2 linked regions of the Xenopus tropicalis genome follow. The protein of the gene in region 1 interacts with the protein of each later gene in a biochemical or structural test. Links are inferred from orthologs where the notes say so. Each region holds a gene or a part of one and is shown on either strand. Other genes may lie near its edges. The genes, in order: npr3 and nppa.

Region 1 (3,830 bases):
TTGAGCAAACCAGAAAAATTCAACAAGATGGACAGATTCATTTGCATCAATGCTTCATTGTGTTTGCTTTCAGCTCGCCAGAGTCAACATGAACTCTTCAGTGTACTTTGGCAAAAACAGGTATTTTTAACCCATCGACCTCGAGAATTCATAGCAGAAATAAGATACGTGAATGGTATATTCCGTGCAGAGGCTTTGGGTTTAATGGCCCGGCGTGCTCGTTTTAACTCTTCCGCACAACGTCTACTGTATGGGAGTGAATACAACCCGTACTGCTGCCAGTACCTGCCAAGGTTGCGCACTATCAAATCAAAATTGCGCGGTTGCATTCCAACAACCTTTCCTTCTGCAAAAATTTTCAGTGTCGAAAAAAATAATTTCAGTGTTAACTATGTGTGCCAATTTGGGTTTGTTTTTCCTATGAAGCTCTGGACAAACATGTTGAAAAGGAACATTATTTTTTTTTTAAAAAAGTGCCTATCTTTGTCCGACACACATCGCCCAATGATTTCTACGCACAGATCGTAATAACCTTGTCAAACCGTGCCCGTTTTTCACAAGATGAAAGGCCACATGGCATAATGCAATTAATCGATCATTCCTGAGTTTCTGAAAACAATATGAGAATGGAAATAAGATTCTACTGCCTTAAAAAATAGCTTCTGCAAGAACCCCATCACACGTAATGATGTCTTTGGTTGCTTCTTCCTAAAGATTTTTGTTTGTTTTCTATTCTTTATGCCGCAGAAAAATGAGATCTTATGGAATCTTCCCGAAGCTGTCGGTGTTTCCCTAGGTTGCAGTCGTCCTGCTGATTTCGTCTTTCGATAGTTATTCTGTATTTCTTTCTGCAACGGGAGGAATGTCAATGGTGAGATGGTCAAGTGTCACTTTTTGCTACTAGAGGAGATTTTTCCATATGTTTTTGTAAATAAAAACTGCATTAAATAACCCAATGATAATATCTGTGTTGAAGGAGAGTCAATTTAGCCTGGACTTCAGGTGACTGGGTTTTAAATAGGATAAGGGTTTGCACACAGAAAACACAAGCACAGTGGTAGTATTAAAAAAAAATCCTTTCTATAATATGCAGAAGATTTAACAGCAAACAATTTTAATTACAAAATTACAGAAAATAACACATAAAATGATAAGATAATACATACCACAAAATGTGCATAGGCAAAAAAGAGACACGCATGATAGCGGATACACTTGCCAAAGATGAGAATTACCCCAACGTTTCAGCAAAGAGCCTTTCTCTAGGGGAATCGAGAACGTTGGGGTGTGCAAACCCTTATCCTATTTAAAATTACTGCTTTCGGTACCCTATACAGTTTTGGGTTTTTTTGCACCAAACACCTATGTTGCTTTTTTTGTATGTGAAGTGAGTGGCCTCCATTTATTTATATTTACTTTAGGTGACTGGGTCACAGAAATAACATATGAGGCTAGAGAATGTCTTCGGTTTCATAGAAGGGTTTGAGAAGAACCCTAAATCGGAGTGAAACTCCCCCTACTAAACAGATTCTGGGTCTTCAGTCTTGTGAAATGAAAGCCCAACCTTGTAATACATATAATTACATATATATAAAATGGTCATTCTCTTACAGTTCCAAAGATATCTATGATAGCAACTAAGCATTCACCATAAAGTTTCATGCAACCTCCTTTGGTTTTGAGCCCATTAGGGGACCATTTTCATAGTTGAGAACCACTGCACCAAATATTGTTTTGGGATGGATTCGGGGTTCATCCGAACCCAAAAAGCTGGGTTTGGTGCATCCCTAACTGCCAGGCATGCTGGACAATACAGTGATAACAGTCCCAGCATTTTATATCTAATCAATCACAACAGTATATATTTAGGAAAGGAAATCACATTTTATATTTCACTGATAGGTCCTGACATAGTATACAAATAACAGCAATTGATTCAGTGAAAATAAAACCACATTTTAATGGCTCAAAAATTCATTCAAAACATAATGCAAAACAAATTCAGATATATACTATACCAAACAGTGACAAGGTGCATCCTAGTGCCTCTCCTAACGCGTTTCGCACTGAGTGCTTCATCAGAGGAGGTGTGGTGTGTTGATGTCACATCCCTTTTATACCCATCCACATCTACCCTATACATTGTACAGGGTATTGCATTGAGCATATATTATAACAATATTTTAAAATATACACATTCCAGGGTTAAACAGTGCCCTGTATTCAGCATAAATTATACAGAGTCACATAAAAACCTCGTAGACATTGCAAATTTTCAAAATTCTTCTTAATCAAAAACTTTTTAACCATTATAATGGATATTATGGCCACTGTGTTAGAACATCACACCCAACATATAAAAATACAGTGAAGTTTTAAAGTGCAAATTAGTGCAAATCGATTAAAACCAGCTAAAAACTCTTTCTTTTTGTTCATTCGCTTTATCTTATATTCAGACCCCGACCAGTTACTCATAAGTCACTTTTCAAACCCAGAAGAATTGCCTTTAAGATCATTTGGTGCTATTTAGTGCTATAGGTTGCAACCCATATTTCTCCTACACAAATTATTTCCAGGATGACACTAAAAATGGTTTTAATTCAAATTTTGTATTCATCCCTTTTGGTATTACAGTGTTTAATGTAAATATCCACTTAGATTCTAACCGCAACAGCTTAGTAACCAGGTTTCCTTCACTTCTTTCATTTATTTTATCAATGCCAAACATTTGAAACTGCATCTGCTTGCCTTCATGTGAATATTTAAAATGTTTATATAAAGGGTTATCATCATCCTTATTTTTCAGTCCTCGCAGATGTTCTCCTAACCTTGTTCTTAGCTGTCTGATAGTCCGTCCCACATATATAGAACCACATTCACATTGTAGGCAGTAGATAACATACTGTGTTTGACATGATATATAAGTATCTATACTAAATTCTTTATCATTATTTTTACTGAAAAATGTTTTTTTATTACCAGTATATTTACAGGCTTTACAACCTTTGCATGGAAAGAAACCTTTTACATTACCTAACCAACATGTCACTTTCCTATCGTTATTTCTCTTCAATTTATTTGGGGCTATAAATCCCGCTATCGATTTTGCTTTTCTACTTATAACACCTGGTCTCATATTCAGCTTTTTTAACACTGGATCCACCTGTAAAATATTCCAGTTTCTTTTAATAACTTTAGTTATTTGTTTATATTGCACCCCAAAATCTAGAATGCACCTGATCTCTTCAACTTTTGTAGTTTTGGAGGTTTCCATTTTACTTTTTTTACCTCTATTTTTGTTACTATTTGCTATTAGGTCACCTACTTTGTGTAACGCTATTTGCAGATCATTTTTATTATATCCTCTCTCTTCGAGCCTCTCACACTCTTGTCTCGCTTGTTCTTTAAATATTTTATAATTAGTGAAATTTCTATAAAGTCTCACCAACTGTGCATATGGTATTGACTTTACAGTATGCTCTGGATGGAAGGAATCCCTTCTCAAAATTGTATTGCCTGCAACTAGTTTCCTAAATAGTTTTGTATTAAGTTTTTAGCTGGTTTTAATCGATTTGCACTAATTTGCACTTTAAAACTTCACTGTATTTTTATATGTTGGGTGTGATGTTCTAACACAGTGGCCATAATATCCATTATAATGGTTAAAAAGTTTTTGATTAAGAAGAATTTTGAAAATTTGCAATGTCTACGAGGTTTTTATGTGACTCTGTATAATTTATGCTGAATACAGGGCAATTTTAAACCCTGGAATGTGTATATTTTAAAATATTGTTATAATATATGCTCAATGCAATACCCTGTACAATGTA
Region 2 (4,264 bases), on another chromosome or scaffold:
GGGGCTGAGAAGTCTCTAATAATCAGCTGCTCAAAGGCTGCTTTATAGAAGGTAGATAGGGAGTTCTGAACAAAGTTGCCTCGCGAGGCTTTTTCGGCGATTTGCCGAAATCGCGCCGCCGCATGTGCCATCCCACCGGCAACTTACACTTTCGCCAGTGGGATGGCAGGTGATGGCAACTTGGGGAGATTAGTCGCCCGCGAACAGGGAGATTTGTCACGGGCGACTAATCTCCCCGTGTGCCAGAGCCCTAAAGAAAGGGACGGTAAGGTCAGTGAGTAGCCCAACTTTCAAATTAGTCCTCTATAATGGCAAATAAAAGGAAAACTTTGATTTTTTTTTTTTAATTAAAACAAAAGGCAGAATGTTATTTCAACACAATTCCCTTATAATTTTTAGCAAATGTGTTTTTAGGTGGATACTACAAGAATGGGTTTGCTGCTCACCCTATGGCTGTTGCAACCCATGCCACTCTGGGCTCCAATTCTGTCAATGCGTCCTCCAAAGCAGTCTGAGGACCTTCTTAAACTTTTTGGTGAATTTAAAAGCTCTCTTAACTTGCTTTTTAGTCGGGATAGTTTATCAGGTGTTTCCCAGGAAGACCCTCTGTTGAATACTGTATCAGATTGGGGTCTCACAGCCTCTCCGGTCCAGGAAGGAGCAGAGTTAGAAGCATCGGCAACATCAAAATTCTGAGCAAATAAATCTTGGGATGGGGCCACTGGTTCTTCTGCAGGCGCTTCCAAGCGCTCCAAAATGTTCTACAGGAAAAAGATCTTAATGAGCTAAATAAAATGTAGTCAATTGCAGTGAAGAAATTAATTTCTAGTGAACTCTTCCAAATATATATTATGAATGTGTGTAAATTATTGTCATGTAAACAACAGTTTCTCATGTCTGAGGGTAATGTTTAAAAAAAATATCCAAATAATTAGGCAAACTCACATTAAGGGGCAGATTTATCAAAATGTGAGTTTAGAGCTCAATACATAAAATCTCACCCACGTTGTATTCATTCCTATGGGTTTTTTAGAGGTGTATTTATCAAATGGTGAGTTCTAACTCTGACCCCTTGATAAATACGCTTCTAAAAACCCCACAAGAATGAATACAATGTGAGTTTTATGTATTGAGCTCTAAACTCACATTTTGATAAATATGCCCCTAAATGTTACTGGTTGTTCTGGACTGGTGATAAAGAAAGGCTACAACCAGAAACAACTAAACTTTAAAATCATGAGATAAGCTTATCTGCTCTAATATTTTCAGCCAGTAGATGTGGGCCAGATGCTTAAGAGTTATTCTGGTACTTATATAATGTATTAAATACATGTGTAAAGATCAGGGAGGTCCAACTTCAGAATTTTTTTTTTTTAGGTGTGCCTGTGTGAAACTATGTGTATATCAACTTCCCAATAAATGCCCATGTTCACTTGATAAGCTGTACGGCATTTCCAGTGACTTTTTGGATGAAGCAAGAGCTAGACTATAGGATATGAGGAGAGCTGTCTGAATTATTGTTGTTGTTAAAAGCAGAGTTCTCTGACCACTCTTGTGATTTACATTTTTTTTTATTAATGGTCTCTGATTATGCACCACCTTCATAGTAGGGAATCCAATATTTTAGGATCCGGCCAAACCACTAATCCTTTATGAAAGATTCGGGCAAATACTGAACTAAATCCGAATCCTAATTTTCACATGCAAATTAGGATAGGGGAAGGTTAAAGACAATTGTATGCAAAGCAGGCAGTGGCAAATTTTCAACTTCCGTATTTATATGACAAAAAGTCATGTGATTTTTCGGATTCGGTTCAGCAAGAACCATGGATTTGGTGAAATCTGAATCCTGTTGAAAAAGGCTGAATCTTGGCCATATCCCAAAACAAATCTTGGATTCAGTGCATCCCTACTTCATAGTCAGTTAAACCTAGAGAGATGCTGAGTCTAAAACTATAACTCAAAAACTACTAAAAACAAAAAATGTAAGTGAATAGCAAGTGCTCAGAGGAGCAATGTAAGTTGACTTTTTTTGTATTTTGGTTTAGATCTACTTTAATTATAAGAACTTAATAATATATGTGGTGTGTGCCAGCAAAAGATAAACTATAGATTATAATGAATAATGTAACCCCAACTGTAACTGATTTATAGATTTACAAATGATTGTATGAGTAGCATCTAAAACTTGCAAATAAATTATGGGCCCAATATGTTTTACTACAAGCATATTTCTGAATGTTATCATTTTAGGCATTATACATTTTTTTGTGTTGTACATTTATAGATAGTTTTAATTAGCTTATTTAATAGGCAAACTTGCTAAAATCACATGTTGTATTAGGTGGGATACAAGAGCTTCCCTGCTAATTATACATAAAGGAGGTTATACACCAGGGAAAGATCATATGTAGGAAAAAATGAAATTAATTGATGGAATTCAATGTGCACTAAAGATATTTAACTCTGATTTGTTAGTGTAAATAACTACAACAACAGACACTTATATTGGGAAGGCATCCGAGAAACTTCAAAAGGGATCATGTTAATAATAGCTAGTTGCTGTAAATATGTAACTGCCCTTTAATGGATAAACTTAAAAAAGTGTGTAAAATAATAGAATACAGAGCATGCAGTATTTTTTTGCTGGATTCCTACACTTTCTCTTTAATCTTCACTGTTTAGAATTACATTATATTTTCATTCCTTCTTTTGAGTAAAGTTCTTTAGAACCACATCAATGCTACAGAGTCTCTCACCTTTAAGTCTGTTAGATCAGAAGACAAGATAGAGCTGTATGCAGGACTGCCCCTGGCCTTCATCAGAGCAAGAAGAAAGAAGATGAAAGTAAAGTATCCAACGAATGAAGTCCCCATGACTCCTGAGACTTTCTGATATTGACCAAAAACCTAATTTCCACTATAGAAATGTCTGTGTGTCTCCTTGTTTGTTCTGATATACACAACACTGACTCATTTTATATGCGTAGCAGTGACACAGAGTTGCAGAGGAATGAACCCCGCCACATTCTAGCACTTCCGTATGATAAAGAAGCTGGTTGCAGGCCAACAGAAGATTCCCTTTTAAAGTTATTCTTCCCTCTGCATTTCCACAGAATTTCCAGGAGGTGCCTTATCCACTTGACTGAACTGACCTGATGGAAGACTCACATTCTTTGTTAAAGAGGCTTCTCACATGCAGTGTCTGGGTGAAAAGGATAAACTGACCCATCTATCTTTACATCTGCATTCCTTATTAGTGATTCATAGAAAATAAGAAAATTCAAACTTCTAACCAATGTGGTATGGATGGAGTTTAGCTAGTGAAACACACAGGGCAGTGTGGGAGCACTCCAAGACTAATAAAATATAATGTAAGTACAACAGACCTGGCCAGATTAGCTTCAAATAATGCAAAAGCTATAAAAAATGAAGAGCGACTAAAGGTTGCTAATTCTATAACATAGTAAAAGTTAATTTGAAGGTTAACTACCCTTTAAAAGCATTGTTTTAGATCTTAACTTATTGCTGTGCTCATTGAAATAAATACATTTATTCCATGTTTAAAAAGTTTAAATAATAGATTACAAACTCTGAAAAAGCTAAAAACATGTCATAAAATCTACATTGCTAGCCTTTCCTCTCCATTTTTCATTAGTAAACCCTTTCCCTTTTTATAGTAAATTTGTCCCAGTTTAAATATTAAAATGTTAGGCACCCCCAAGTGACTTAAATCGCTTAGCTTTTACCCCGGGCTGGTGCCCCTGTACAGAGAGAACAGCACCAGCCCGGGGTAGCAGCGTTCGCTTCCTTCTTCCTTGTTCGCTGCGCGCGCATGCGCAGTAGAGTGAGTAGCCGAACTTTGAACAGAGAAGTCAGCGTTTCACTCTACTGCGCATGTGCCTGTCCCGGACAATAAGCAGCAGCGCGAATAGGGAAGAAGGAAGCACTCGCTACAGTTACCCCGGGCTGGTGCTGTTTTCTCCTAACAGGGGCACCAGCCCGGGGTACAAGGTAAGCAATTTAAGTCACTTGGGGGTGCCTAACATTTTGGCACCCCAAAGTGACTTAGACTTTCCTTGTCCTTTAAGCATTAACATTTAAAATATAAAGCTTATTTAATCATTTATTCCCCTCCATTTTTTCTCTCTGGTGGCAAATATGGAGTATGAGTATATTTTGAATATGTAGCTAGATATTGTTGTATTTTGTGTGACAATGCCAATGCATTAATTTGTGGCACTAGAGAATATGACCAGTTTTGG

The links.
Region 2: the proteins of npr3 (region 1) and nppa form a complex in vitro, tested with the Homo sapiens proteins (4 studies listed by BioGRID, with this or other methods). The link is inferred for Xenopus tropicalis from reciprocal best matches to the Homo sapiens genes NPR3 and NPPA.

What each region holds. Positions count from the first base shown.
Region 1 is NC_030677.2:200,603,108-200,606,937, forward strand, and holds part of npr3 (atrial natriuretic peptide receptor 3), read right to left. Parts: intron 849-3,830; coding exon 737-848; 3' UTR 1-736. UniProt on the Homo sapiens protein: Receptor for the natriuretic peptide hormones, binding with similar affinities atrial natriuretic peptide NPPA/ANP, brain natriuretic peptide NPPB/BNP, and C-type natriuretic peptide NPPC/CNP.
Region 2 is NC_030683.2:65,813,741-65,818,004, forward strand, and holds the start of nppa (natriuretic peptides A), read right to left. Parts: upstream 2,985-4,264; 5' UTR 2,877-2,984; coding exon 2,760-2,876; intron 762-2,759; coding exon 447-761; intron 1-446.